4 linked regions of the Drosophila melanogaster genome follow. The protein of the gene in region 3 interacts with the protein of the main gene of each other region in a biochemical or structural test. Each region holds a gene or a part of one and is shown on either strand. Other genes may lie near its edges. The genes, in order: pAbp, sqd, Art1 and nej.

What was found.
Region 1: of the proteins of Art1 (region 3) and pAbp, one has a biochemical effect on the other in vitro, tested with the Drosophila melanogaster proteins (one study listed by BioGRID).
Region 2: of the proteins of Art1 (region 3) and sqd, one has a biochemical effect on the other in vitro, tested with the Drosophila melanogaster proteins (one study listed by BioGRID).
Region 4: of the proteins of Art1 (region 3) and nej, one has a biochemical effect on the other in vitro, tested with the Drosophila melanogaster proteins (one study listed by BioGRID).

Annotation. Positions count from the first base shown.
Region 1 is NT_033778.4:18,138,574-18,147,245, forward strand, and holds pAbp (poly(A) binding protein), read left to right. Parts: upstream 1-1,504; 5' UTR 1,505-1,759; intron 1,760-2,203; exon of another isoform or gene 2,204-2,381; intron 2,382-2,801; exon of another isoform or gene 2,802-2,843; intron 2,844-2,914; 5' UTR 2,915-2,933; coding exon 2,934-3,099; intron 3,100-4,228; exon of another isoform or gene 4,229-4,365; intron 4,366-4,426; exon of another isoform or gene 4,427-4,569; intron 4,570-4,605; exon of another isoform or gene 4,606-4,751; intron 4,752-4,839; coding exon 4,840-6,324; intron 6,325-6,393; coding exon 6,394-6,647; 3' UTR 6,648-6,701; intron 6,702-6,768; 3' UTR 6,769-7,662; downstream 7,663-8,672. Other genes in the region: Pcl (polycomblike), read left to right, coding at 1-200, 268-663.
Region 2 is NT_033777.3:13,641,445-13,649,477, reverse strand, and holds the start of sqd (squid), read left to right. Parts: upstream 1-3,173; 5' UTR 3,174-3,558; coding exon 3,559-3,725; intron 3,726-4,907; exon of another isoform or gene 4,908-5,119; intron 5,120-6,268; coding exon 6,269-6,309; intron 6,310-6,374; coding exon 6,375-6,649; intron 6,650-6,722; coding exon 6,723-6,966; intron 6,967-7,050; coding exon 7,051-7,179; coding exon of another isoform or gene 7,180-7,289; exon of another isoform or gene 7,290-8,033. Other genes in the region: rin (rasputin), read right to left, coding at 1-409. UniProt on the Drosophila melanogaster protein: Component of ribonucleosomes. Could be needed to organize a concentration gradient of a dorsalizing morphogen (Dm) originating in the germinal vesicle. At least one of the isoforms is essential in somatic tissues.
Region 3 is NT_033777.3:10,784,398-10,791,410, reverse strand, and holds Art1 (arginine methyltransferase 1), read left to right. Parts: upstream 1-3,184; 5' UTR 3,185-3,296; coding exon 3,297-3,299; intron 3,300-3,362; coding exon 3,363-3,638; intron 3,639-3,706; coding exon 3,707-3,936; intron 3,937-4,023; coding exon 4,024-4,645; 3' UTR 4,646-4,930; downstream 4,931-7,013. Other genes in the region: Mcm5 (minichromosome maintenance 5), read right to left, coding at 370-486, 550-1,371, 1,430-2,540, 2,595-2,746; Rbp1 (RNA-binding protein 1), read right to left, coding at 5,891-6,008, 6,488-6,804.
Region 4 is NC_004354.4:9,681,346-9,689,189, reverse strand, and holds the start of nej (nejire), read left to right. Parts: upstream 1-3,522; 5' UTR 3,523-3,640; exon of another isoform or gene 3,641-3,687; intron 3,688-5,038; 5' UTR 5,039-6,583; coding exon 6,584-6,638; intron 6,639-6,850; coding exon 6,851-7,435; intron 7,436-7,547; coding exon 7,548-7,844.

The sequences.
Region 1 (8,672 bases), on a different chromosome or scaffold from region 3:
AGGGACGAAGTATTTCTGTGGGAACTGGAGTCGGAGTAAATGGCATCATAAACAGCATTTTCAAGCTTAAGGGCACCTCCAAGGAGCAGCCGCGCATGGTGCGCACCATCAAGCGAAGACTGAGTGCCAAAGACATTACGATAGGGCCCAATCAGGAAGTGCGCAGACGACGCACTCGCCGCCTGACCACGGCCATTGAGGTAAGAGTTTAACTAACAACAATGTAACTATAATGTTTGAGATGTTTTTTTCGTTTCCACTTAATAGGTCATCAGCACCACCACCATCAATCCCATACCCAGCCACTACCTTCCTATCTATGCCAAAGATCTGCAGCCACCCGCGCCGCCAATGGGAAAGCCGACACATGGGCGCCTGTTGCGCCAGCGACCACAGAAGCAGTCACCCAGCCAAAGCCGCCGGAACTCCACCAGCTCGACGGCAACCAGCAGCAGCAGCAACGGCATTGGAGCCCCAGGACATTCCATGCTGGACTTGAAGCAGTCGGTGAACAAGTACTTTGGTGGCGCTATGAATCGCATAGATGCTGGTGAGCCCTTTGCCATTCGGGCCAAGCGGCGCATGGGAAATGGACAGGTCCAGTACCTGGTGGAGTGGGGCGGAGATACAGCGACAACGGCGATTGGATTGCTTGGAAATTGAACCCTTTGGCATACCGACTCATTATGAATTTTATATTCTTCATTTCCATTATCATTTCTTTTCGTTATTATGTATTAATGAACGCTGCCAACTACGGGCCTCTTTATTTGTTAATGTTTAAAAGTTTATTACCAACCCACTGCCAAAATAGAAAAAGATTGTTCAAAATATTGGTTCAGCATTAAAGCGATAAAATGTTAAATTGTAAAAAAAAAAAACGAAAAAAAAGCAAAAAGCAACTGAATACAGGTTATAATTGTGCAATGGCAGTTAAGTGTTGCAGCAGAACATAAATAAGTTTTCACAAAATTGGTAAAAGTATTACAAGATTAATCTGGAAGCCTATGTAAAATTCGCTGATGAATGAAAACGTATTAAATAATGAGAACAATTCAGTTAAGTTCAGTACTGTACTTTAGCGATACGCCACGCCCATGTATGTTTTTGAAAAATATACCTTCAAATGGGAAAACTCACAAATCATGTCATGCATACAAAAAAAAAACAATTGATATACATACATACACACAAATTTAATAAAATGTAGGACTAGTTCAATAATTTTCACCCATAGTCTAGGCAAAACTACACAATAATGAATTAAGCCAGTACGTTTTATGTTTAACTATTAAATGCTACGAAAAATCAAAATTGAGTTGAAAGCAAACTAATTCTCAAGCCAAGTAAATGTTTGGCCAAACCAGATCGAAATATGTTTAATGAAGTATATAATGCCCAAATAAATGTTTCCGAAATGTCAAATCTTTTAAGATTTTACTCAGGACACGCCAGTAGGCGCCCAAAGTGACACTTCGCTTTGAAGCTTGTCAGGCACCGACGCCTCACACCGCTTCATTAGGTACTCGATCGCCAGATAGGGCACATGCACCAGACGTTCAAAACGGGAAAAAGAAAAAAAAAATTATCCTCAGCCATCCTTGAATGTGGTCTATTTCGTAAAAACAAAAACACAAAAAAAAAACTTAAAAAATTCTTCAATCTCTGTAGTGCCGATTTCCATCGAGAACGAAAAGAAGTACTCAAGCACTTCTCGGAGTGTCGACTTGCAGCCTCATCGCTTTATTCTCTGATTTAGGTAAGTTCGCACAGTGGGGAATTACAAAGATGGGATTCGGTTTTCGGAGCATACGCTAATATCTGTGCAGTGCCAAAAAATCATTTTCTAAAAGTCTACGCTCATTTTTAAAAGAAAAAAAAACTGCATTCCTAATTTTGGATTGTGTTTTATGAGACAAAGTATTCAAGGACATTGGCGAAAATATCAGAACATAAATGAAGCAGAGTTACCAAAGAACCCCTGAAAATGCACAAGTATTTCATGTTTCGGGAATTAGCTAAATATAAAAATTTTTTATGTGTGATGGCTGGCTTTTTTGAAATTCAAAATAATGCTTCGTAATTAGTAAATTGTCCTCACGGATTTTTTAGTGACATTTATTTGTCTCTAACCCTATGTGGCAGCATTGTGCAGTGGGATTTAATCGATACTTTGTGGGGTCATCGCTAACGAATCTCCTCTCTATGAGTCGTGTAGAGTCCGTTTACGTGAGCGGTCGTGGATTCGCTTTCAGCACACGGCTTATCACATATTTTTTGTGAAGAAAAAACATATAAAAAATAAAAAAAAATATTAAAACACAAAAACGTAACAAAAAAAATTGTAAAAAGTAGCAAAAAAAATCGAGCGTGTTTGAGAAGTAAGTACAGTGTAAAGCTATTGGTTACAATGGTGTAGAGAGTGAGAGGGCGCAACGCACGACAAAGCGAATAGGGAAATTTTCCTTTCCCATCGAAATTTGCTTTGTTTGCGGTCGTTCTTCGCTCAAAGATGGCGTCTATAAACGCCAGATTGCCCGCAAAATAGTGGTCTAGGAACTAGTTGTCGCATATTTTCGAGAAAATCAAAGAATTCCCCAAAATTCGATCAGGCAAACGCGTGTCTATCTTTGTGTCTGTGTGGAAATTTTCCAACACGAAGAGAAATAAAAGGGGAGAGCAAAGAGCAACAACAAAGCAAATGCCAACGTTGCCATGTCTACCGACTGTCACATGTACCAGTGTTGCCACCCAGACACACAGACAGAGAGACGAATAGAAGACCGAAAGCCACGCCGCTTTTTTTCTTTCTATTTCACCGCCTGCCTGGTCGAATCCATCCGGTCCGTAAAGATTAAGAAAAAACCCAAAATTCAGTGTCAAAAAAGTGGAAATTAATTGTTAAAAATTGCAGGTAGACCTGATCACCAAATATGGCTTCTCTATACGTCGGTGATCTCCCACAGGACGTCAACGAATCGGGACTTTTTGACAAGTTCTCGTCTGCTGGTCCAGTGCTGTCCATTCGTGTCTGCCGCGATGTGATTACCCGTCGCTCGTTGGGCTATGCCTACGTCAACTTCCAGCAGCCAGCCGATGGTGAGTAATCCCCGCAAAAGTAGTGTAATTTTTTTAGTCTTACTGCCCGCAAAAGTAGCCCCCTTCCGCGCGAAACAAAGAAAACACGTGTGCAGTTTTGCACTCGCTTACTCACACACGCACGCACACTAGCGCATGTCATACAGTGGGGCTAAACGCAAGTCCAAACTGGACTTTATTGAAAGATGTCTTTCATAGGAGACCAGATAAACGGCTTCCAAGTGTTTCATAACTTGTTCCACAGTGCACTGCTTACGTTAATCTCGTCGCGCACACACACACGCACTCAATTCCCGCCAGTGTGTACACACACACACATGATTATATCAGTTCCAGTTATTCTGGATGTATACGATTTGTGCGGGGGGATGATGGGGGCTAAACAGCTGGCTCGTGGCACTCATCAACTGTTCGCCTAGAAATTTCCGTCTCAATTTCGCACAAAATTGCAATTATGATGGAATAATATGGTTCCATACTGCCCAAACTGCTTATCGCAGCCCCGCCCATTGGTGGTTTCATTGTTTCCTTGCCCGTTCTTCTCGTTTTATTCGTGTGATGTGTGTTGTTTCCAAGCGGCAAACTTGCGCGCACGCACACGCCGACGCGCAAAAACATGTGTTCATTGTTGTTTGGACCATTTCTTTTTGGCCTTCATCTATTTTAGGTTATATTCCATTAACTGAGTTTCCGCACGTTCGCTCTTTAGTTTTCGTACTGCCTCCAACTTTTGTTTTGCTTTCACTTTCTCATATCTTCCATACTCTCCGCATTCCATCCATCAACACTTCCAAATTCTTGACATGTCAGTGAACTGCTTTTCGGCCTCTCTTTTAACCATCAAAATCTTGTTTTTACAAAAAACGAAAACAAAACTTTCACTGCGCATAGTTGGTGCTTCTTCGATTCCCGTTGTTCGCTTACATTTGTTTATTCAATTAAGCGCACAATGGCACAAAGCTGGCGGTTGGTGATGATTACGCTGCGTGTGAAAGTCTGTCGCATTCCAGCAAGTTTCTTGAACTCTAGCTGTTAAGGTTAGGTTGGAAAAACAGACCTTTCAAAAATGATACCATCTCGTTCTAGACTAGTAACACCCTAAATGTTTTTCTTTTTTCGATTCATATCTCGCAACTCCTACCCATTGGTTGGTCAGATTTATCTCTTTTTGACACGACTAAGATTCAATGTTGCCAGAGAAAGCAATGCAACTTACCATGTAGATGGCTGATCTATGCCATCCACAGAAGTAGAAGCATAACAAACACTAAATAATACATCATATGATTAGACTCGAAGGATTATGCCCTTTCTTATCTAAGCTTCTAGCAACTTCTACCCATTGGTTGGTCAGATTTAACCCATTTTGACACGACTAAGATTCATAGTTGCCAGAGAAAGCAATGCGACTTACCATGCTGATGGGTTTTGCATACCATCTGCATAACAAACACTCAATGTATCACATGATTAGACTGATAAGATTGTCCTTGTATTTAGACATCTAGCAACTCCTACCCATTGGTTGGTCAGATTCAACCCTTTTTGACACGACTAAGATTCATAGTTGCCAGATAAAAGATCAGACTTGACTTACCATGCACTGCGCTGCTTTTGCTCATGGCCAGTGCAGAAGTTGAAGAGTCACATTGTTATTTAAGCCCCTTCAACTTATAATGATCTTGATATACCCAAATCGTGTCGGTAGTAACCAAATGTTTTCCCGATTTTCATCAACAGCTGAGCGTGCTTTGGACACCATGAACTTTGACCTGGTTCGCAACAAGCCCATTCGCATTATGTGGTCTCAGCGTGATCCTTCTCTTCGTCGCTCAGGTGTGGGCAACGTGTTCATCAAGAACTTAGATAGGGCCATCGACAACAAGGCAATCTACGACACTTTCTCCGCCTTCGGCAACATTTTAAGCTGCAAGGTAGCCACCGATGAAAAGGGCAACTCAAAGGGCTATGGATTCGTCCACTTCGAGACCGAGGAGGCCGCAAACACGTCCATCGACAAAGTCAATGGCATGTTGCTCAACGGCAAGAAGGTCTACGTGGGTAAGTTCATCCCGCGCAAGGAGCGCGAGAAGGAGCTGGGCGAGAAGGCTAAGCTCTTCACCAATGTATATGTGAAGAACTTCACTGAGGATTTCGACGATGAAAAACTGAAGGAATTCTTTGAGCCCTACGGCAAGATAACCAGCTACAAGGTCATGTCCAAGGAGGATGGCAAGAGCAAGGGCTTCGGATTCGTTGCATTCGAGACAACAGAGGCTGCTGAGGCGGCCGTTCAGGCTCTCAATGGCAAGGACATGGGAGAGGGCAAGTCCCTGTACGTGGCTCGTGCCCAGAAGAAGGCCGAACGCCAGCAGGAGCTGAAGCGCAAGTTCGAGGAACTGAAGCAGAAGCGTCACGAGTCTGTGTTCGGCGTTAACTTGTACGTTAAGAACCTGGACGACACAATCGATGACGATCGTCTGCGCATCGCGTTCTCTCCATACGGCAACATCACATCGGCCAAGGTCATGACCGATGAGGAGGGTCGCTCCAAGGGATTCGGCTTCGTGTGCTTCAATGCCGCAAGCGAGGCTACCTGCGCCGTCACCGAGCTGAACGGTCGCGTCGTCGGCAGTAAGCCGTTGTACGTTGCTTTGGCCCAAAGGAAGGAGGAGCGCAAGGCTCATCTCGCCTCGCAGTACATGCGTCACATGACCGGCATGCGTATGCAGCAGCTGGGACAGATCTACCAGCCCAACGCGGCTAGCGGCTTCTTTGTGCCGACCCTTCCGTCAAATCAGCGTTTCTTCGGTTCCCAGGTGGCCACTCAGATGAGAAACACACCCCGCTGGGTGCCCCAGGTGCGTCCCCCAGCAGCCATACAGGGTGTCCAGGCCGGAGCTGCCGCTGCTGGTGGCTTCCAGGGCACAGCCGGTGCGGTGCCCACTCAGTTCCGTTCGGCTGCTGCTGGCGCTCGCGGGGCACAGCCTCAGGTGCAGGGCACACATGCCGCCGCTGCTGCGGCTAACAACATGCGCAACACTGGAGCACGCGCTATTACTGGCCAGCAAACTGCAGCACCCAACATGCAGATCCCCGGAGCCCAAATCGCTGGCGGTGCCCAGCAGCGTACTTCCAACTATAAGTACACCTCAAACATGCGCAATCCTCCAGTGCCACAGTTGCATCAGACCCAGCCAATTCCACAGCAATTGCAAGGAAAGAGTAAGTTTTAGGTCGACTGAAAATATGCACAATTTGTCACTAATGGCACCATTGCTATTTTTCTTGCAGATTCTGAGAAGCTCATTGCCTCGTTGCTGGCCAACGCCAAGCCGCAGGAGCAGAAACAGATCCTGGGCGAGCGTCTGTATCCGATGATTGAGCATATGCACGCCAATTTGGCTGGTAAGATCACCGGCATGTTGTTGGAGATCGAAAACTCTGAGCTCTTGCACATGATCGAGGATCAGGAGGCCCTTAAGGCCAAGGTGGAGGAGGCTGTGGCCGTGCTTCAGGTGCACCGCGTCACCGAGCCCGCCAACTAAGCTCGAACAGCTCAAGCGTATGAACATTTTACAAGAACACTTTACACCCAAAAAGTAAGTAGTCTACAAATTTTCCGAAAAGTTCAAGCTGTCTAAACTCGCCTCTCTTTTGTCCTTGCAGTTTTCCACTAATCTTTCAATACATGAACAACAAAAATTCGCATTCACTGATGCTTTGCGCAGGGGAGGATTGCCAAGGACACACAATTAACACAGAAAAACAAAGCGAAAAATCTACGGCTTTTTCTTTTCTAATCCCAGAAACATCAACAAAAGCAATTTCAATCATTTAATTTCGAACGCATTTACGCAAGTACACGAAGCAAAAGAAGAAAGTCACGCAATCAAATTCTGCAGTCCACTTATAAATTCTTTTTTTTTACATAAACATGTTAATTAAAAAAAAAAACGGAAAAATGTGAAATGAAAAAAATTTCGTTATTGCTTTAACTGGATCGATATTATTTTGTATGCGTATAATGAAAACACCAAAAAACCATTGCAAAATAAACAGATTAAAGCAAAGCATACATGTAAACCGCTTCTTGCAAGTATTGAAATTGTGTTTTAAAAATTTTAAAGAAGTTTCTAGTGTTACATACATATTGAGTTTTTCGTACACTTTTTCCATCCACACTTTCAAACAACAACAAACACGAAAGCGATATGTAATTTTTTTCAATTCTTTTTTCTCAAATTCAAACTTTAAGAAAGCTTTGTTTAGAAAAAGAAACGCGACAACCATACACTTTTAAAAAAGCAAAGAAAAAACAAAAAAATTGCAAAAGAGTTAAAATAAAAACGAAAAAATGGAAAGCAAACTGTGCAGAGAACAGAAGAATAGAAAGAAAGAAAGAAAAAGAAAACCGCAAGAATATGAGAGTCAAGTTTTTGCTACTTTGAAAAAAGAGAGAAAATACAGAATACCAACAGCTGAAAAAATATGTTGACAAATGAAAACAAAACATAAATCGAAAAAACTACAAAAAAATGGCAAAACCTATGTAAAAACAGCAAAAAAAAAATAATATATATAAACACAAAAACACACACACAGCAACACACATATTAAACAACCACAACATATATGAGAAATACAAGAAACACATGAAAAGCGCTAAAGCGTAAACAACTTATGAAGCATATTAATAAACAACAAAAAAGCAGACAGGATTTTTATGATTACACTATTATCCGAGAGAAGGAAAAACATGCATACATTTATAAACATTTGCAAGAACATATATGTATTTAATGAGAAGGAGCTGGTAAGTCGCCTCGATTTCATTTGCGTTCCGATTTCTGTTACAAAGGATATCGAGAGTTTTACCAGTAAATGATGTTTTTACACCATACATACATAAAATGATATATTAACGCAAGCGGAAGTAAGAAATGGCTTTCGCTCTGGGCAGTGAAATACATATTTTTTTATTAAACAAATCGAAAACTAAAAACAAATAAAAACCCAAGGAAAAATCATTGAAAAAATTGCAAAACACAAAACCACATGTATGCAGAAAATGCAAAATTATTTAAAAAAAACAAACAAACAAAATAATGAGAGTAAAACAGAAAAAAAAAACATAACCAAAACCCGAATTGGAATGTTAGTTCAAGGGAAATTGCGAAGAAGAAAACTTTTACTTTTCACGAAATATACGCAAGTCAACACACTTCTATATATAGCAGATATATATATGTATCCTTATATATTAAAGCGAAATAAAACATAATTTGTATGATTAAAGAAAATAGGATTCTTGAAACTTGATTGCCCGTCTTCGAAGCAAAAGCCCAGCAATTAAAACCATTTGAAGAAATTGTAATAAATGCAGAGAGAAAGTCCTTAAAACATACCTTTGTACACCCAACAAATTTAATTACAATAAAATTCCACTTCGGCAAAAGCGAGTGTTTTCATTTTTCAGCGGAATGTGGGTGGGATGGATTTTTATGTTTAATATCTATTTAATATTAACATACATATATGATATTGCTTTCATATGAGATGAGATGCCATAT
Region 2 (8,033 bases), 2.9 Mb from region 3:
CGTCCTCGATGTAGAGATCCTGATAGCGGAAGATGTCGTTGTGCACGTAGTACTTCTTCGGCGACTGAGCGGCCAGAACGAACGTCTGGGTAAAACGCCGCATCGGCTGGCCATCATTGGATAGCTCCCCGGTGACCTGAACCACCACACCGTTGCCCAAAGTGGCCTGGGCATCAACCTGGCTGATCTTCGCGTGGCAATCGTTGAAGTTCAGCTGCTGGATTCGGTTGTGGATCTCCCGCTGACCGACCACCAGCTTGGACTCTCCATGGATGTACGACGAGTTGTGGTTATAGAAGCGATGCAAGTGGTTGGGCGCCTTGTTCAACAGCGTGTAGTACTGGCGGACAAACTCGCGTCCCACAGATTGCGGCGAAGGCTGCTGCGATTGGGTCGCATCCATGACCATAGCTGGCGTTTGATTCTTCCTCTCTGAACTACGGACTCTTCGACTCGGATTCTTTGTCTCCGCTTCCAATTTCTGCTTCCCTTCTTTCTAGCTGCTGCTCGGATCTATCGACACGGTGGCTGATCTGTGTCGATTGAGAGTGTGGGAACGTCTGCGAAATAGTGCAAAAAATATACGCGCACTATGAAAATCTGTCTGGTTTTTTTAATAAAAAAAAAGAAAAGTTGGCAAAAGTCCTAGACGACTGTGTAGATTTTTCAATCTGATAATTTGAAATTAAAGGAAGCTGCTACCCTGTTTCTTACAATCTCCAAAAGGTGTTCAAAGATGGCTTATTCATACCTGTGCCGGTAAAAGTATAGAAACCATAATGAATCACTAGTTGTGTTATCAGTTAATTTCATCACGTGTAAATTTAATTTGGAGAATTAAGGCTTGATAACGGTAAAACACGCAAATATAAGAAACAAATTTAATTGGATTTTCAGACTGTCCATTAAATCAATCTGTGCTTCTTTTACATAAATTTCTAGAGAAATGTGACTGACTACCAAAGTGTTGACCCCTGCTGTGCTCTCCAATAAGGATCTAGAGTTTCGCTTGGTCACAAGGACGGCGGGGAGGGGGGGAGGTTTGTACACCCAAAACAGGGAGCTCATTTTACCGCAGTGCATATAAAACAGACGCAGCGCGCTGCAGTTTGACCCACTTTTGGGGCCCACACACATTTGCACATGCGAAAAGGGGAAATTTGGTGTAGTGCAGCTGTCAGGAAAAATTCCAATTTGCTTGCCGTCGCAGGACATTTAACCCTGCACGTGCTCCAGCTTTTATGCCTGCGATCCTGGCTGACTGAACTTTGCACGTGTGTGTGTGTGCGCGAGTAAATGACCTCATACAATTTGGCAAAGAAAAAAAAGAAGCCGCCAAGCGAGGAGCATGAATTAAATTGAGGTTATGTTCGGGTCTCAAGGTTGTGGCGCCGCATACAATGAACTCCAGCTTGGCCAAAATATCAAATTGCTGCCTTGCAAAAACACTTGAAATAGCGTTAAAAGGTGTAAGTAAATATCAATGTTTGCAGGTGTCCTTTGCCCCATTTTAGCCATAAACATTTGCCGATAAAACAAAAAATGCACAATGAGTTGCGGCAAACCCACACGCACACATATTCGGTTATGAACGCGCCGCTCTTTCGGGTTCTCTCTTTCCCACTCTATTTCTGCTTGCGAACCGCGTGTGTAGGAAGAACAAAGAAAGCTATAGTTGAAGAGCAGCATTTAAACAAAAATGTACAAAAACAAAATTTTTCGTACATTTTTAGGTTATGCACAAGCGATAATAAAAAAAGCCGCTAAAATGGTAAAAAAAAAAATTTAAGAGATAGAGCCCTGCCGCAATAATAAAATATACGCCCATTTAGCATTTTTTATGTTGATTTTTTCCTAGTATGCGCCACCCCTTTGAAAATGGAAAATGCTAGTTTTTCTAGACCGCGCACACGAGGCCGTCGCCGGCTCACCTTTTTTAAGCGATATTTTTCCTCGTTTTTATTTTTCCTTTTTGTAATGCACAGTGTGTATTGCTTTTGGGTTGAAGTTTGCCGAAAAATCGGCACTTTTTGTAGCACTTTTCTTTGTTATCTTCCTGCGGGGGGCGGGGAGAGTTGGATTTCTTAGTGGAGCGCTGAAATTATGCGGTTTTTTTAATTTACAAAACGATAGTCGAAACGTATGAAATGCAGTATAAAATTGCAAGCTGCACACAAAACACACAGCCACACACACCAATGCACTCACTCGCTCACACACACACACTAGTCTAGTTTGTTGCAATTCTTTTTGTCTTTTTTTTTGAGAATAACTAACTTGGCAATTCTTGACGTGTATTTTTTGTTGCTTTCTGATGTTTGGCGATCACAGTTGTTGTTGAATTAAGTTACGATGCATATGTTGTGGCTTTTGAGTAGAAAATAATCGCAAACGCAATGAAATTGGACAAGTGTGTTGAATCGAGAAGAGAACCGACGTTCGTTCCTCTTTTCCTCTTTTTTGCCTCTGCACAGTTTTATTCTTGGTTTCGCGTGTGTTGGTGTGTGAATGATGGCGGCTTTTCCAAGGGTGTGCACACACTTCTTTTTTTGGGGTGGTTAATCTAGTATGTTCCATAGAATATTTTGATGAATTTGATATTTTCATATTTGAGCTCAATTAAGCTCATTTTAGGGGCGCTAAGTTTCTTTTAAATAGTTTTATAAAACTTATTTTCATTTTAGCCATTTCCGATTTTTTGAGTAAGCTCATGAAACACCTTTCTTTAAAGGAAACATTTTATATAGCAAATAAATAAAAACCATAATAACGTTATATTATAACCTGTTGGGAAATCCGAATATGAAAATTGTATAAATTTTTGCAAAAAATAAAAATATTTAATATAAACCAATTAAATGATTTAAAATATTGTTGATGTTTCAGCCTATAAGAAGTTAATATGAAAATTCGATTTTAAACAATTCTTTGTATGTAAATGTTGTTTTCGTTCCCAACACATAGTAAATAATGAACATTGTATTTTTTATATTTATAAAATTATAAATGTTTATGAAATACTTAATATTTATTTAAATATTTAAACCTTTAATACAACTAAAATGAATTTATAAACCAAGTAACTTGTCCATTGTGTAAACTGGGCTTTAAAATATTTGTATAAAATTTTTGGTATTCTTTTCATTTTCTCTTCATAGGTGTGTGTACATTGTATAAATCAAAGCTGCCATACTGCAAGCAGACAAGTCACGCGCCCATTTAGCTCCTTATATAGGCTTATTTGGGGTGGTATCGTACAGAAAATCCCAATTTAATCCTTGGCAAATGTATAGCTAACAATCTCCAGGTAGAGCAAGCAAATACAATACAAATATTTACCAAAATAATACCAAATCGACTTGACTGGGAAAACATCAAGGTGGCAACGCCGCACCCATATACACACGCTGTCGTTTGCATTTATCATTTTCCGGTCGTCATTTCATTCGTACGCGCGACTTTTTGGCGAGTGTGTATAAAAATCTCCGGCTCTGCGTAAAAAACGAATATCGTGCTGCCTAGCCCCCGAAATTAGTAGATCAGTCGAAAACACACAAAATGGCCGAGAACAAGCAAGTGGATACAGAAATAAACGGCGAGGATTTCACCAAGGACGTGACTGCCGACGGTCCGGGATCTGAAAATGGTGATGCGGGCGCCGCCGGCTCGACCAACGGCAGTTCGGACAACCAATCGGCCGCATCCGGCCAGCGGGACGACGACAGGTATGTCCATTATCCGGCGGATACGTTTTTTTTTTGTTCTTTTTTATTTTTGCAACGGGCAACCGATGATCATGTGCCCCCCATAGATTTTCTGCTTCTACATAGTGTATATTGCCTACTCTGTTACGTAAATGCAAAGCTAACGTCGTTGGTCGAGTTTCATTGGATTTTACGGGGTTCTGCGGGGGAAGTCTGACCCCTTTTGTGTTCTCTCTCGCTTGCGCTCGTGCGTCGGAGTGTGTTTAAGTGTGTGTGTGTGAGGTGTCGGTGCGACTGTACTTCAGTCATATTAATAGAATCTTCGGGCCAAAATGCATCATCACAGTCTCGGGAGACATGGAAAATTTTCAACGTTTTCCCCTGCACACACACGCACTTTCCGCAATGAAAACCAGAGTTTTCTTAAGCTAGGAGCACATTTTCTCCCCTTTGTGAGGTTATGTTTGTTTCCCACGTTGCCCCACAGACACACTGTGACGCATACGAACACAAATCATACGGTTGCCTTTCACTTGCAAAAAATGTGGCGAAAAAAAACGTTGGAAAAAGTTATGTTTGTATTTGTCAGTGTATTCTTTTTAATTCGCATTACTCTTTGTTTCGGCTATTTCGTTGTTATTTTGTGCTCTTCCAGTTTTGTACCCAAAATGGCGGCTGCATACAGGCATACATACCAACCTAACGCCCGCTGTTCTGTAGGTGTGTGCGTGTTTTGCAGTTTTCACTTATTCTCTTGCTTGCCGGCTTCGCTCGCTCGCCACCTCTTTTGCGCGCTCTTACTCTCAGAGAGCGACAGCCGGCGTTGTTTGGAGTTGCCAAGGCGCCAAAATATTAATTTAACGAACAATTAATGTAAATTATAAATGATAAATAATTTTGATGGATTAAAGCATAGAGATAATGATGATCAAGTAGAATGGTCCTCTTGTTTGCTCCCCTGCGTTTTGGTTTTTAGGTCTAGCGTACACTTCATTTGCCCATCCTTTATGATCATTTTATATCTAAGTTTAATCTTAAGTCACACGATACTGTACATTTAAACGATAATACGAAACCAGCGCTGACGAAGCAGATGCAGATTATTCCCCGTAAAGGAAGAAGGACGAAATGGAGAAATTAAATCGAAAATCATAGCTTATCCTGTTGTCTTGTGAGCGAACTAACCTTGTTCCTCTCCGGCAGGTTTTGAGAGAAGTGAAATGCCCCAGGTCAGGGTTTTAAGCTATGCTCAAGACGGATATGGATTCGGATATGGATTTGGATTCGTATTCCTGCCCCCGGCAAACGGTTACGGATTCGGATTCGGATTCGGCGGACTTATACTTGGAGGATATGCAACCCTCTCCACACTCCAGTCTCCAAAAGTCTCCGCTCCGCCGATACTGATGCTGATGGTATTTATCTATCCAAAACTAAAACAAACAAACAATCAGTCAGTCAGCCAATATATAGAACTATCAACACACAAAATTATCAAGAAATAATCTCGATTTAAAATTGGATCCATATGTAAACTGTATACGAGTATATATTGTATTGTATCTCTTAACGTATAACTTGTAAATTACCTAAAAAAAAAAGAAAAACAAAAAAGTACCAAGTAATCGGAGACAGAGAGAGACCGAGTGAAAAAGAGACTCGCAGTTTTTTCGTTTTGTTTTATGAAGCTCAAAAACTATACATTATATATCGCCCGAAGAAAGAAACACAATGAACGAATGTAACGTAACGAATTGCCACAAAAAAGAAGCACAAATCACTAAATTGCAATCGAAATTCCGCCGCCGTGTGATGAGACTGTTCCAAATTTGCCGGGAATCCGCCGAGAACGATGAGATATCTTTCCAAAAAGTCCAGAAATCAATGAGTAACGTACACATCATAGTAAACTATAAGTGTCTGCATATTTTTTCAACATTCCTTTTTATAAAAAAAAAAAAATATAAAATAAAATAAACAGCCAAATAAAGAAAGTAAAACTAACCACAATCCAGCATAAAAACCTTTGCATTCTTTTCTCTCATCCTATTGAATAAAGACTAATTGTTAATTGTTATTTGTACAGACAAAGACTCTTAAGCATACCCAAAACAAAAACTTAATAATTCACTCTTGCATATCTTATATATACTATATATCTATATCTTTCGCTCGTTTTGTGTCTCTCGATCGATCGCTCGCTCGCTCCTCGAACTCTTTCGCTCATTCCGAGTTTGCAAGTATTTTGACACTATCCGATCAATTCTTTGATTGCAATACAGTAACTAAAGCAATTTTTCACTTCAAATTTGGTGAGTTTTTTTTATTCGTTTTGTATTCTTGCCCAGTCATCAAATTCTTTTGCAGCCAATACGAAAATCAGTAAGAGAAGAAAAAATTTAAAGTAAATTAAGAAAGTATTTGCCTCGCGCATCAAACACAACCTATTTTTCGTGCCTGATTTTCCCAGATAAACCTTTTCCTACCAAAATATTTCCCTAAATCTATATTGAAATGTTTTAAGATACCATCAATCTAACCAATTAATCTTTAAACTTTCGCAGGAAACTGTTTGTCGGTGGTCTGAGCTGGGAAACGACTGAGAGTAAGTATAAAACTAAAACGAAGTAAATAAACAAATGCTAACAAGTTGCTTTTCTATTATTTCAGAGGAACTCCGCGATCACTTCGGCAAATATGGCGAGATCGAGAGCATCAATGTCAAGACAGATCCCCAGACCGGTCGGTCCCGAGGATTCGCCTTCATCGTGTTTACAAACACCGAGGCCATTGACAAAGTCAGCGCCGCGGATGAGCACATAATCAACAGCAAGAAGGTCGATCCCAAGAAGGCCAAGGCCAGGCACGGCAAGATCTTTGTCGGCGGCCTCACCACAGAGATCAGCGATGAGGAGATTAAGACCTACTTTGGACAGTTCGGCAATGTAAGTAACCCTAAAGCGGTAGACCTTTTGGAATTTGCCAATAATGATTTACTTAAATTCTTTTTGTTTAAAGATCGTCGAGGTGGAGATGCCATTCGACAAGCAAAAGTCGCAGCGCAAAGGATTCTGCTTCATCACCTTCGATTCGGAGCAGGTGGTGACAGATTTGCTGAAGACGCCCAAGCAGAAGATCGCCGGCAAGGAGGTCGATGTTAAGCGTGCGACGCCCAAGCCGGAGAACCAGATGATGGGCGGTATGCGTGGTGGACCACGCGGTGGTATGCGCGGCGGACGCGGTGGCTACGGAGGACGAGGTGGTTAGTACAGCCGCTAACGAAGCAGTGCATTTTTGCTTCTTATGGAAACCGGCTCTAAACTATATATTTCACACCATCCCATAGGCTACAACAACCAGTGGGACGGACAGGGATCATACGGCGGCTATGGCGGCGGCTACGGCGGATATGGTGCCGGTGGTTATGGCGACTACTATGCCGGCGGCTACTATAATGGATATGACTACGGTTATGGTAAATACAACAAACAACAAAGTAGTGCTCAAAACAATTATTACAATAACAACACGTCGAGTAATTACCATCAAAACAAGAACAATAGCAACAACTATCAGCAGTTCTAAGTAGAGCCTCAGCCGCATAGAGCTGGCCTGGCCAGCAACAAAATCAGAAAGAAATAATCAAACAAAGCAAACAACAACAACCGCAGAATATAAAAACCTTCTAATTTTTGCCATAGACCTGATCTGATCCAAAATTTCCACGTTGTTGTGTTTCCCATTCAAACAAAACTGAGAGAAAAACAAAAACAAAAAGTTTAGCTGCATTTCGATATATAGTACCATATATATATATATATATATATTTATATATGCTTATATACCGCATGCATTGTCTATATGCATATTTGCATATAAATCATGTTGGTATATGATGTCAATGAACAACAACATCAAAAACAACAACAAGAACAAGAACAACTACGAAAGCAACGTCGCTAAAAACAAGAAAACTTTTAAAAATTGTAGATTTGAAAGAGAGAAAACAAGAAACATTTCTTTAATGCTAACATATAAATTTTAATCTAATCGTTCATTTTATATTGAAAAAAATGTGTATTTTGACAGACAATTTTCATCATTTAATAATAACAAGCAAAATCGCAATTTTTATATACACATTTATATCTATCTTATTAAATATAAACCTACGTATAATTTTAAAGGCATATAATTGATGTTTAAAATTTTAAAGCGTACCTTTTAAACGAGAATTCATTTAAACGAAACATTTAATTACCAATTATTAGTTGAGTAGCATTTAAACATAAAACTGACGAAGCGTGTGTAAAAAAAAAGATGTGTTGT
Region 3 (7,013 bases):
TTCGACCAAGCATTATCAACAAACAGAATTTAGACATTGCTTATAATCTCATTTTTTAAATGTAAACAATCATAAATATTTACCAAACATATAGTCTGCCGGCTCGACTGACTTATGCACTTGAAATACCTAGGATTTCCCACTACAAGTATCAGAGTATCTATTCTGTAAACTTCTAGCTATTAAATACATCACTGAATTATTGTTCAAATATTTAACAGAATTTGAATAAATAAAATAATGATTCAATTTGGTTTATTGGGAAAGAATGTAGTTTATCTTAATACTATAAATGGAAATACAAATAATGTGACGAAATGATTGAAGACATATTCAACGATGGACAAGAAATGAAGTGATTAACAGTGTTTAGCAAATTCGATAGAGCATCTTCCGTTGCATCCGGTGCTGCAGCTCTCCACGTCGGATCATGGTATGAATTACCTTCATTACCGTGCGTTCTTCGTATTTCTGACGCAAAAAGTCCTATGAAAAGCAAGCATTATAAATAAAAATTGTTCATTCGATTCATAAGACTTCTGTGCTTACCTGTAAGATATTCTGCTCCGATACTTGAGATCCAATTGCAAAGCGACGTTTCAATTGCTTTTCGATGCGGTTGAGTGTTTCCTGGTCCTCCTCGGTCGTGAATCCTTCGGCTCCAGCCAAGCTGCCAGTCATCGCAGCATCAAGGGTAGACACTTGGAAAAGTCGAAGTGCTTCGTTCACGTGCTCATCTGTGGCGAACGGTTGCAAACGAATCTTTGCCAGCGACTCCGAAATGCGGATGACAGCCTCCAACTGACGCACAGTGATGGGAATGCTTAGCCGCTTGTCAGATGCCTTCTCCTGCTGGCCGGCTCCACTGCGCATAAGCACGTAGCGGCTCTTTAGCTTCTCGCCGGCAGCTTCGCTCAGGCGCGGACCGCAATGAGTTCGGCAGTAGTGAATATACTTCTTGAACGTCGACAGCGATATCTCACCCTCAGCCGGCTCTGAAGGCGCTGACTTGTTAGAGCTCAGATGCACGTTGATGATGTGCTTGGCCAGCGTAATGTCCCGCGACTCATCGTGAATATCCTTTACAATGAAAATCATGTCGAAACGGGAGAGAATTGTGGGCATAAAGTCAATGTTCTCCTCGCCCTTGGTGTCGTCCCATCGACCGAAAATGGAGTTGGCAGCTGCCAAGACCGAACAGCGTGAGTTCAAGGTGGTCGTGATGCCGGCTTTGGCAATGGATATTGTCTGCTGTTCCATGGCCTCGTGAATGGCCACACGATCATCCTCTCGCATTTTGTCGAACTCATCAATACAAACCACGCCTCCATCGGCCAGCACCATGGCTCCACCCTCCATGACAAAGTTACGCTAAAGATTAATGTATCATTTAATTTGTAAGGATTAGGTGTGCAATGTTTTTTCTCACCGTTTGAGGATCCTTCATAACCGAAGCCGTGAGACCAGCCGCACTGGAGCCTTTGCCCGAAGTGTAGACTGCTATGGGTGCCACCTTCTCCACAAACTTTAACAACTGTGACTTGGCAGTACCAGGATCTCCCAGCAGTAAGACGTTAATGTCGCCTCGACGGCACAGACCATCCGGTAAACGCTTACGAGACCCGCCAAAAAGCATACAAGTTATAGCTTTCTTGATATCCCGAGAGCCGAAGATGCTGGGCGCCAGTGACTGTGAGAGACGTTCGTAGATGTCCCCAGAGGCGGCCATTCGCCGGAAGTGCTCCTCCTCATCGGATGTGATGTTGCTGTATCGGGAGATGGCACCCGCACCCTCTGAGTCGACGGTGATGCCCACCACCCTCATGTAAGGAGCACGGACTCCAACGACGGCTTTCTCGCGACCATCCCGACGCGAGGGTTTGCCCACCTTGCGAATGGAGTATATGCCCTGGATAAGCACGCGATTGCCGGGCACCACGCGTTCACAGAGCGAGCGATCGCAGAAGAGCTGCAAGTGGCGGGGAATCTCACCCTGTGGCACAAAGTCGGGGAGCTCTTGCAACTTAAGGGTCTGGAAATCGACGCACTTGCACTTGTCCGGCATGATGAAGAAGGGGTCCAGCGGGCACTTGGGTCTGCCCGCCTGCTCCGTGTTGCACTTCCTGGGTAGGGCGTAGCCCTCCAAACCTGGATTCACTTTGAGATTCGGTATGACCGTGCTGCAGGACAGGCATTGGATAGACATCCGCGTAGCCTTGGCACTTATTCCTGAGGCTGCGACAATGATTCCGGCGATCTTAACCAGCTTGGATACGCAGTCCGACTTCAACTGTCGTATGTTGGTGGGATTCGCATTGGAGCTCAGAAGAATCTGGATGTCGTGCATATGTTCCTCGTGCTCCGGCCGGGGAGCTGTGATCTCGTCGGCTACCTCCCGGGCAGCCTCCTCGAAGATTTCCAAATGCTCCGTCGGCTGCTTGTTCAGCTTGTCAGCCAAGGTCTCATCGAAGCCCACCAAATCCTCCATCTCAATCTCCAAGAAGTAGCGACCATTAAGATAGTTCCTCTTCAGGGTGTCACTGCAGGGGGATTACCTTAAATGGGGTTCAGATGAGGAGATGCAGTTCACTTACCGGTATTTGTAGAAAAAGTTCTCCTCGTTAAATGTCCGGATGAACTCCTTGTACTTCTTCTTTACCGCCTGCAAGTTGATTTGCGCATCCTGCTGGTTATCTCCGCCGAAATTGTCCGAAAAGAACACACCCGCATCGTCGAAGCCTTCCATTTTGATAGGGTAAACAAAGTTAAAAAGAAGAACTGAGGTAATAGACGCTACTTCTGCTTCGCTTTATATTTCGTTTTTTAGTAAATGCGATGTGCGAATATTTTGCCGCCAAAATTACCGGGCAAGCGGTAGCTAGAGATGAGCACTTACCAGTAAAACTATCGGATCTTATTTACAACTATCGATGAAACGTGTTTCCCAGTTTATGTATTTTTGTTAGCAGTGAAATAGGACCAATACAACAAGCATTGCAGCAGTTAATAAACCATGAACGTATTTATTATATCTTATTGATGTTATGACAAAGATTATTTTACTCGATTATATGGAACATGCCTTAGACAACTGACTCCAATTCTTCCCAGCTCAAAAATACTAAAATTTCAGAAAAATCCAATAATATCGAGCTGGCGATATTTGTTTCCAGCTTTTGTGCGGGGGCAGTGTTGATAAGCGACCTTTTAAACTAGCGTGCTGTAGAAACAGTCCCATCATTTAGTCGCCAATTTTTCGACGTGAAAAACCAAAGAGACGCCGAAGAAATTAGAAAATGGTAAGTTTTGGTCAAAATGTGACGGCAATCGACAGGCCAGTAGCTGACGAACCCGATTCGCAGGCCAGCACAGACATTCCCATGGAGGCAGCTGTGGAATCGGCGACCGGCATCACGCCCAATTCAAATGCGAACTCAAACAATGTGGCGAAGAAGCTGCCCGCGGAGGGCTCCACCGGTGATAATCCCAATGCCAACGCCGACGAGATGACGTCCCGCGACTATTACTTTGACTCCTATGCCCATTTCGGGATCCACGAGGAGATGCTCAAGGACGAAGTGCGCACCGTCACATACCGCAACGCCATGTACCACAACAAGCATCTGTTTCAGGGCAAGGTAGGGTTAACTTCCGGGGTTTCCCCATTTTTCGTAGCCCTTCTCACCGGGGTATCTCCTCTTTGCAGACCGTACTGGACGTGGGTTGCGGTACCGGCATTCTCTCCATGTTCGCTGCCAAAGCCGGTGCTGCTCAGGTGATTGCCGTCGACTGCTCCAACATCATTGAGTTTGCCCGCCAAGTGGTCATTGACAACAATCTGCAGGATGTAATCACGGTTGTCAAGGGCAAGATTGAGGAGATTGAGCTTCCAAATGGTATTGAGGGAGTGGACATTATTATTTCCGAGTGGATGGGGTAGGTTTTCATTTGTAGTTAAGCTTTTAAAAAGTGGTCATATTTGATTTAGCATATTAACCATTTTAATTTCTTTCCTTAATTTAGTTACTGCCTGTTCTACGAATCCATGCTGGATACAGTGTTGTACGCTCGGGACAAGTGGCTGAAGAAGGACGGCATGATGTTCCCAGATAGGGGCACGCTGTATATCACGGCCATCGAGGACAGACAGTACAAGGACGAGAAGATCAACTGGTGGGACGATGTCTACGGCTTCGACATGAGCTGCATTCGTAAGGTGGCCGTGACCGAGCCACTGGTCGACGTGGTCGATCCCAAGCAAGTGGTATCCACATCTTGCATGGTCAAGGAGGTGGATCTGTATACCGTGCAAAAGGCCGATCTTAACTTCTCGTCCAAGTTCAGCCTATGCATCAAGCGCAACGACTTCGTGCAGGCATTAGTCACCTACTTTAATATAGAGTTCACCAAGTGCCACAAGCGTCTTGGGTTCAGTACGTCACCAGACTCCACATACACGCATTGGAAGCAAACCGTGTTCTACCTCGATGACCACATGACGGCAAAGAAGAACGAGGAGATCACTGGCACGTTCCAGATGAAGCCCAACGAGCGGAACAACCGTGACCTGGACTTCGTCATCGACATTAATTTCAAGGGCGAATTGTCTCAAATTCAGGAGTCGAACACATACCGCATGCGCTAGGGGCAGCCATAACCAATCCGATCTGCCATTTGGGATGGGGCTCAGAGCCCTGCAGCGAGGATACATACAATGACTAGACGTAAGGTTTATTCCAGTGCGAAATGTGCAACGAATTCGTGTTGCGTCTTCTCCTAAGTTTAAAGTGTACCTTTGTTAGTATACATAATATTTTACACTCGTGCGCCTGTTTAAATTATTATTCGAACATACTTCTAAGCAAGTTGTACAGCAGCACGTCAATTCTCACATAATAAACAGTGCACTAAGCACGTCCCCTTTTGCTGGAAACAAACTGTTTTTGATGATATATGAAACCAATCAAAACTCGCTGATTGTGCGTCTTTATTTTTTAGTAAAAAAAAAAAAGGAATTTCAAGAATGCATCGAAAGATTTATATTGTCATCTGAAGTAAATTTACTTGGATCGCAATCGACATAGGAATTCCTACAGAAAATACGGCCTTGGCCGGCTTGTTCTTTGATGCGACACTGCTTAAACGATATCCTTTTGGAAACATTAATGACGATCCCGAGAATCCGAGCGACTTCGACGATCGCGCGAGAAGCTGCGGCTGCGGGGCGATCGGGAGCGACGTGGCGAACGTGACCTGAAATAAACGCATTGGTAAAGAAGAAATGATTACTTAAAAGCTTAATAAAATTATTTAAATCAGCTTAGAATGGTAAGAAGTGTATGTACATACGCGCCTTACAAAGAGCTGCAAAATAGGAGTGTTAAATACTGCTAAATAGTTACTTAAACTAATTACCAGGGGGAACAAAAATGAAAGCTGTGCAAACTGTTTTGTTTCTATGAATTAAGCTGTGAACCAATTAAGATAAGAGTATTATTGCTAATGCTGCTATTACATTTAGCTGCTGCAATTACATTTACTATCTATTACCAACTGATATCCTATAATTAGAGTTTAAAGCTTTCTACTTTGTCGGATACATATGCAATAAGAAAATGGTCGAACAAATCTATAGTAGCTGTGATCATCAGCGTTAAACGCGTTCAAGGCCAGTTTTCTCGACATCAGAGTCAAGTACTTGAGAAAGCGGACGAACCCTCATATCATAGGCAACTAAATTAAAGAAATAATTGTAAGCAATTATTTGAAGGATACGCAGGATAACTTTAAAAAAGAACTCTTTGGGCGACTGCATTGCTTCTTCTAGGATGAAATCATTTGGGTTGCTAATCAAAACTTCTGTGAGGCTGTGACGCTGAACATGGTTAATTTAGAGTTGCAAGTTGAAGGTTGCTGGCTGTGGCTGTGAAGATGGTTGCTGTTGTAGATTGTTGATGTTGTAGAAGGAAGAAGTAGCAGTGGAAGTAGTTCTAGCCGAAGGAGTTATCCTGAAAAAGTGTCGATAACTCGAATTTAACAACCACTAAATGATTGGATCGTAGATAATATATGTATACAGTTTGTAAGTTTGGTCTAAATAAAGTACCAAGTCAATTTTTAATTAGAAATGTTATGAATAGCGATGTGATGTCAGTTGGACATGAATAAAACAGCCTGCGAAGAAGTACTCATAAAACTGACATTTCGAAGGCTGTTCTATCACGTGCAGAAAAAGGCGGGAAAATGTACATGTTTGCTATTCGCAATTAATGTTTTTTGCGACGATTCCAATGAAATTTCGATAACAAATTTTATACGTTTTGATAAGGATTGATTAATTTTGACGGTTACAGGCAAGACCGCCATCATATGCTTAGAAACCTGAAGAAAGTACCCAATTTTTGGAGTCAAGTGATCCATTGTTCCATTTGGGAGACACATTGAGCCAAGTAACATGAGAAGTACAGTTTTTTTGTCGTGGAATTACCTGTAGCGTCCGGAACCAGAGCGACCACTACTGCCGCCTTCTCCGCGCCGGCGATCGCGCGAGCGACCCGAAGACATCTCTACGCGAATCCTAGTGCCGCAGCAGCGTGTTCCGTCCAGGGCACGCGTTGCGTCTTCCGCGTCACGGCGATCCTCAAATTCGACAAAGGCGAAACCTGGTGGATTGCGGGCCACCCACACGTTTCGCAGGGGTCCATATTTGGCAAATGCGCCTTCTATCTCGTGCTTGGACGCCGAGGAGCCCAGGTTTCCCACGTACACCTTGCAGGCCAAGTCCCACTCCCTATATCGCGGCATTTTTGTCGGGCGGTGCGGTATCGTGAGTATTGCGGGAGGTGAGCAAGCGGCTAAAACACGAGTATACGGGTTACTTATATTATCCGTGCAATGAGCTGTTGTATAAACACTAATTTCCACACTTACCTTCTAAAATGTCATCCAATTTTGTTAAAATTTTAACAAAAATCTCCGCCTTTCCTTTATTTATTACAATTACCGAAAAGTGT
Region 4 (7,844 bases), on a different chromosome or scaffold from region 3:
ACCGAAGGACGCCGCATAAATGGGGTGTCGAAATGATCATCGGTTGAGAGCGCCCCGCGGCGGGCCGCTCCTCTGATCTTTGCACCGCACGCCCCGCTGCGCTCTATCCACGGTTCCAAAAGTGTGTAGAGAAAACCAACGAAAAGGATCCTCTACTCCGAAACAGGACACGCAATGGCCAACGAAAAAACAGTGGCAAATGGGCCATGGTCCATGGGAAAAAAAAAACGATATTTGCGAAATCCAGACGACAAAGGTGCCAGCACAAAGGACAACTAATTGGTTCGATTCCAAATTGAGCGTTCGCTGTTCTTTTTTCTTTAGTGTCCTTTAGATCCTGCCGCTGCTCCATTGTCCTTTGCTTTAGTCGGTGGAAATACAAATATTTATTTAATATCTAACATAGCGGAGCGCACTTGGCTTACCAATGAGAGCATTAAACGCAATGCAGCAATTTTTGAATTTTGGAAACAAGGATCAACTAATGTCTAATGAATTCTTTTTATGGCAATATTGGCTGGGTGGTTAGGGAAATCGACCCATTCCTGTGAAAAATAAAAATATTTAATTAATATCTAATAAACGGAGCTCAGTTGCTTACTAAAAAACACAGAAATAATGGAAACGAGCAAAAAAAAAAAAAAATAAATAAATTTGTTTATGAATGTCAAGTTTAGTTTTAAATCTATGCACAACTTACATTACGTTTCGGATTCTGGTGTATTGCTTTTCGGCGGATCTGAATCGTCAATAACCCGTGCAGGTAATTGTTCATTAATATTTTTATTATACATTATCTCATTCTCCACCATAAGCATTAAAGTGCGTGCTCGAGGCACTTTATTAGCTAGCCTATTTTTAGCTTTAAATGATCTATGTATTGTTTTTCTTATTTTGTTTTTTTTTGGCTTTTCCTGGTTTGACTTTCGTACTTTCATGTTTTATTCTAAATTTTCCAAAACGTATTTGTTATTCGATAATTTTTACGTTGTGTGTTTTCTTTGGGAGTCAAAGTAGAAATGAGGGTTTTGCTTGTGGGTCGGTTGTCTTGTGATTGAAATTATGTTCAATGCCTACTTTGTTAAACAAATTTAAATCGAAATACCGAAGCTCACTTTGTTTTTTTTTTATTGATACAAATTGTCTTACATTAAATCTAAAATATTATTTGTGTGCGCAGTTTTAAACAGCGAATACAATAACCCAAAGAGCAAATAGCCATGACACCCACCCTTATGTAATAGCTTTTTGAACACCATCCAGCGGGAAGTCATGCAACTAAAGGCAACTGTTTATCTTTTCTTAACCTAGGTGGCGCCATTTCTATTTCACAGATGGATTAGGCGATACACCGAAAGAAATCAGTAGATGATTGATGATATAAAAAAATAAAATAAATGTATTGTCTCAATAGGTTATATTTTGCATTTTATTTATTTATTAGAACGTTGCAGACAAGAGTTTAAATCATATAGATATCGGCTATAGCTGCTGGGGCTTTCAGCCGGACTTCTACATTATTGTTTACGTATTTAGTTACAACATTATTTGCAATTATTTACATTGTATTACTGCACTTACCTTATTGGAATATCTCAGATAGGTTTTAAAGCAAATAAAATACGTTAATGTAGGATAATTTTTTATAAAGTGCATATGCACTTCTACAAATATAGCTATTTCTTTACGCCTACATATGCGTAACCTAAACCTGAAAATTATGAATATGTTCCCCTTGTAAACAGCAAATATTATCCAAAATAGGCGCTTTGCTCATTTTACTCAATTGTACAACTAAAATTTGTATTCCATTTAGGTACTTTGATTTGCACTGTTTTCTACCCTATGTTACGCTCCACTTACAATAGAGTTTTATCAAATTGTAAAACCAAACTTTATATTCCAATTATTTTTAGGTTTTGAAACTCTTCAGTTCTTCATTCTGCATTGTTATTATAGCACGTTTCATCCATATAAATACACAAGATTAAAGGCAAATGACAATAATATCCGAAAAGATAGCTAGATAATGAATAATTACGCTTTTTAGCTACACAGCGGCCACAATGACAGCACTGTTCCTCGTACGAATGCTAACGTTAAGAAGAGGAAGAGACGAGCGGTGCTGGGTTGAAAAAAACTGGAAAAGGGGGGAAATTGGCGCAAATTGTGCACGCGAGGCGCAGCAGGGACGTTGGATCTTAACTATCGGTTTGTGTTCCTTACTTTGCGGCAAAATTAATGCAACCAATTGCCGATATACTGAGAAAAATGGCATAATTAAATAACCAGATCCAACGCATGTAGTGTAAAAAGTCGGGCATTATTCCCAATCGCAAAAGAGAGAGAATCGGTATCACTCGCTGACCCGTCTCGTTCGAGTCTTGATCGCGGTATCTCGCTTGCACCCACATACCGAGCGCCAGCCAGTCATATGGCCGTCCCGTTCATTTCGGTGACAACGTGTCGGTGTGTGTGCATCAGTGTGCAAGCTTATATGTGTGCGCTGTGTATCTGCAACAAACAACGGCGGCCGCTAACAAAAAAAATTGTAAATAAATACGCTGCCGTTCGACAGCGCGCGAAAATCGAAAAAGTGCTCGAAAAGTCAACGAAAGAGCGCCCCCAAAAGAATATAAAAAATTCCGCTAGCGGAAAGGGGGGAACAACAGAAGCAAGTGGGACATTTATTGAACAATTTGAAAATTAATTTGTTCTGTGCGTTGTTTGCATGACCACCGGTTCGTCGGACAAGGACGACGATAGTGTATCCTTCGGCGGCTGATTTTTCGGCTTGCCTCTCTCTCACACGTTCTCTTTGTCTCTCACGGCAAGAGCGAACGGAAAACACGCTAACACTGAACCCACCAGAGATGCGCAAATCCAATGACTCGATTACTTACGTGATCCTCTGTAAATATCGTTTTTCCTTTGAAGAACTTTAAACTAGATTTTTACGATGGACAAACGTTTTCAAAATTAATGTCTACAAATACTTTTTTAAACAAAAAATTCTAAACAACTGCACTCATTCAAGATGTTGATTTATTAATTCATATTAAACATCTTTTTGGAATACCTATTTGATCTCAAAAACGCTGCAAAGAATATTCATTTCATAATGATGTTGGTCTCCAACCAATGATGTTTCTTACAAAACTTCTTTGTGCACATTTTCAAGTGACCGCATAAAAGTATCGGCGAATGTGTCACCGTCATCATGTGGTCATCTCTGGACTCGCTGCTTCGTTATCTGGCGCGCCATATGTGTGCGCGTGTGTGCGTATCGGCTCTTTGGGAGCGCATGGCGTGAGCGGTCTCGCCGACGCAGAGAGCGAGGGACTAGAGCAAAACAGTGTTCCGACAGCGGTTAACAGCTGTTACGGGGCCAACAGACTGCTAGCAAAGGCATTTATATGGATTTCGGGTCGTAACAGTACGACAACAGCGGCCAAACAGCACGCGAGAGCGACGAGAGCCCACTCGCGTGTTGTGTTAAACAGTCAATTTTAGTGTATTTCCGAGCTCGGTGGTGTATTTGAACGGCTAGCCGCGGTCACACTGAAGCAAAAACATTTTTGGCTCGGAGAACGATTAACACAAGCGGACTGAAATTTTTTTGTTTTAGTGTTGCGAAAAAGTTTGTGGGATTTTTATAAAATCGCCGGAAAATGTGAAAAATATATGGTATAAAACCGAAATTCGGCAAAATTGCAAAGTATAGTTAGAAATTTAGTGCGTGGCAATCGGTGACGGTGGAAAAATAAAAATACCGGCCAAAATCGGGCTGAAATTTTTTTCAAATTTTCTACGGCATTTTCTTGAATTTCGTATTTTCGCCAAATATTTTTGCGATTTTTGTGTGGGCCGGGAAAAATGAAAAACGCTCTGGCGGAGACAACACAAAAAATTTCTGCAATAGAAACTTTGAAACGACGTGAAGAAGAAAACGAAACGAAAACGACGAACGAACACAGAAAAAAAATGGAATATATTTCTGTCGTCTGTTTTTCTTTCTTTTTCCAATGCTCCTCGCACTCGTTGCCGTTTACCGTCGTGTGTATATTGCACACTAATGCCGCTTGGCACTAATACCATCGCATGCTTTCTCTCTCGGACTCGTGCTCGCTCTTGCACGAACTCGCTGTTTTCGAAGTGTGCGTGTGTGTAACTGTGTGGTGAAAACGGCGTTGGCGTCGCTGTGAGAATTCTGTACGCGCGCCCCAAACCCCAAATGTGTGCGTGCGTGAGTGTGTGAAAGCTTTTGTCAGCCAGCCCCACTGCACTCTAGTGTCATCCCGCTCGCACCCCACTCGCCACTCGCCGCCCCAACAAATTGAATTTCATATGATGGCCGCTCGAATGCGGAAGCAAAACCAAAATACGGCCACTTTTTCGGCCATTTAATTTATAAACTAGACTATAGACTACAGCCGCAACTGGCTGATACTTCAATTAATTTTTTTAAGCAGTGCTCTGACTTTTATTACCTGTAAAGGTGTGAAATTTTTTTTCCAAAAATGTATTTGTCATAAAAATGTTAAGCATGTTTCAAAGTATATTTTTGCCAACGACGGCACTTGTTTTCCATATTTTTTAGGGGACTGGCGGCAAAATGAAATTATTATTTTCATTTTCGTGGTGTGCGCCAAAAGAGCGAGAGGCCAACACACACGTCTGCGAGTAAAATAACGAGTACAGCGCTGGTAGTATTGGCGAATAAAATTGCGAGGCAAGAACAGACAAGAGAGAGAGAGAGAGTGAGTGGTCGTCAAGCGGCACACAGATGAGTGCAACGAGACCGAGAGAATTCTCGGTACTGTTCTCGTTGTTCTTCCCTTTTCGCCCCGTCTTCGGCACGTCTCGTCGCATTTTAGTTTCGTTTTGTTTCCATTTTCCCCTCGGTTTCGCTGTCCACTCGCGCGCGGCTAAATTACAAAAAAGAAAGAAGAAAATAAATAAATATTGCTTTCGATTTGTGTTCGTCCATTCAACATAATCTAATAGGCTGTGTATTATTCTTCTTGTGCGTTTGCAGTTAATGTGTAATGCTAGAGCGGCAAACGTCGGCAGCAGCAGCAGCAGCAACAACATCAGCATCGACAAAAACAACAGCAGCGCGCCAGCAACAAAAACAAACCGAAACACAACAAACCCAACAACAGCCAACAATGTGAATTGCTTTTTTTTCCTTATTAATTGTAAACGATAACCGAATCAAGTGCAATCAAAATTAAACACAAGCATATATAATATATGGTCAAAATATCTATATATATATATATATATTCCTGTGTAACAAAAAGCCGCCAAAAACAAATCACATAAAATATGTAAGATAGCGGAGAAAAAGGCGGAAAGAAAAGGAAGAGAAAGAGGAGAGAGCCAAACCAAGAACCGTTCTTTTTCGCTCAGTGGAGGCAGGCAGGCAACAACAGACAAACAAACAAACAAACAATAACAAGAGCCGCCCAGCCAAGGTCAACTTTTGGTGTTTTTGGGGCCCAACAACACAAAATGCACGCGTGTGTCTGCTGCTGTTCGACAAACAACAATTGCAACAACGAGAACAACGACGGCAGCAGCAGCAGCAGCAGTAACCACAACAACAACGACAGCAGCATCAGCAGCAGCAGCAAAAACAAATTGCAGCTAAAAAAGCGCAGGGCCGAAGTCGAAGAAGAAGAAGAGGTACTGGTCAAGCGGACGCAGGATAAGAACAAGCATCAAGAGGAGCAGGAGCAGGAGGAGCACCAGGCGGTGGAAAAGTTGTCTGCTGGCCAAAGCGCCAGTGGCGGCGACAACGATCTCAACGGCGCCGCAACGAGAAGGCGGTGGTGGCTGCGCGATCCTCCAGGATCAGCGGAAGCGGCAGAAGGAGAGGGAAAAGGCGAAGGAGTGGAAGTGGGTGTGGGAGCAGAAGGATCAGCGGGCACAGGTCCGACGACGTGGTGGTGGTCAGCTCCATCCGTTGACGTTGCGGTGACGATAGCGCCGGCTACGTTGTTGCTGTCGTTGCAGCGGCAATTAGCAAAGGAATTATCTAAATCAACAACAACAACTGCAACAAGAACAACAACAGAAGCCACATCCTTAGCAATAAAAAGCGGAGCAGCAGCGTTAATATCATCATTAAGTGCAAGCATCGCCAACATCATCGATTACAAGATCCCAAAACACCAATACCAAAACCAAATCCCAATCCTCGCCAGCCACGCCTTTTGAGTGCCTCTTTGTGTGTTGTGTATTGTGCGTGCGTGTGTTGCAAAGTGTCCAAACTAATCAAGAAATCTACAACTTAAAACACTAAACACTTAACCAAACAAACAACCTGTGCAACAATTGTCAAAGTGCTAGGCGACAAATAATTTCTGAAAGAAGATTTGACAAGTTCCAATAACGAAAATATCAGAACACACTCGAACTCCAACATAGACGGATCATTGGAGAGTTAGTGAAAAAAAAAAGCGAAAAATCAGAAAAACTTTATAAACTAATAGAAACAATACTACTCAGATTTTTCGAACGTTTTTCGTCTGCGTTTCTGTTTTTTTCCGAATCGAAAGAATCAAACTAACTCTATATGATGGCCGATCACTTAGACGAACCGCCCCAAAAGCGGGTTAAAATGGATCCAAGTGAGTACCGAAACCAGAATATTCGATTTCTCATTTTTTTTTTTTTTTTGTTAATAACTTTTAGTTTTAGTTTATCAAACTTGTATTCTCCAGTTATTTCATAATTTTTAATAAATTCCTTACGGAATTGAAAAAGCAATTAATTCTATCCAACTATTTTTTTTTTTAAGAAAATTCCTTGCTAAAAACAATTTGGTTGTATCTTCCTCCAGCGGATATCTCTTACTTTCTGGAGGAGAACCTGCCCGATGAGCTGGTGTCCTCGAATAGTGGCTGGTCGGATCAGCTGACCGGCGGAGCAGGCGGTGGCAATGGAGGTGGCGGCGCCTCCGGTGTAACCACAAATCCCACATCCGGCCCAAATCCCGGTGGCGGACCCAACAAGCCGGCAGCCCAAGGACCCGGCTCTGGCACAGGCGGAGTCGGTGTTGGAGTGAATGTGGGTGTCGGCGGTGTTGTTGGCGTCGGCGTTGTGCCTTCCCAGATGAACGGAGCCGGCGGCGGCAACGGATCCGGAACGGGTGGCGACGACGGCAGTGGCAACGGCTCAGGAGCGGGCAACAGAATCAGTCAAATGCAACACCAGCAACTGCAGCACCTACTCCAGCAGCAGCAGCAGGGCCAGAAGGGCGCCATGGTGGTGCCCGGCATGCAGCAGCTGGGCAGCAAGTCGCCCAACCTGCAGTCACCCAACCAGGGCGGCATGCAGCAGGTGGTGGGCACTCAGATGGGTATGGTCAACTCAATGCCCATGTCAATATCGAATAATGGCAACAATGGCATGAACGCCATACCAGGTGATTAATCGTTCTTCCTTGTAATTGGATATCCAAGTTATCCTAGCCAATGCAACCAAATGAATATAGCAACAATTATCTGAAAACCCAAATTATGTTATATCTTTCGCAGGCATGAACACCATTGCGCAGGGCAATCTGGGAAACATGGTGCTGACCAACAGCGTTGGCGGCGGCATGGGCGGCATGGTTAATCATCTTAAGCAGCAGCCTGGCGGCGGCGGCGGTGGGATGATCAATTCCGTTTCAGTACCCGGAGGACCTGGAGCAGGAGCTGGTGGCGTTGGAGCTGGCGGCGGAGGAGCCGTTGCCGCAAACCAAGGCATGCATATGCAGAACGGCCCAATGATGGGACGCATGGTGGGGCAACAGCATATGCTTCGTGGCCCGCATCTCATGGGTGCCTCTG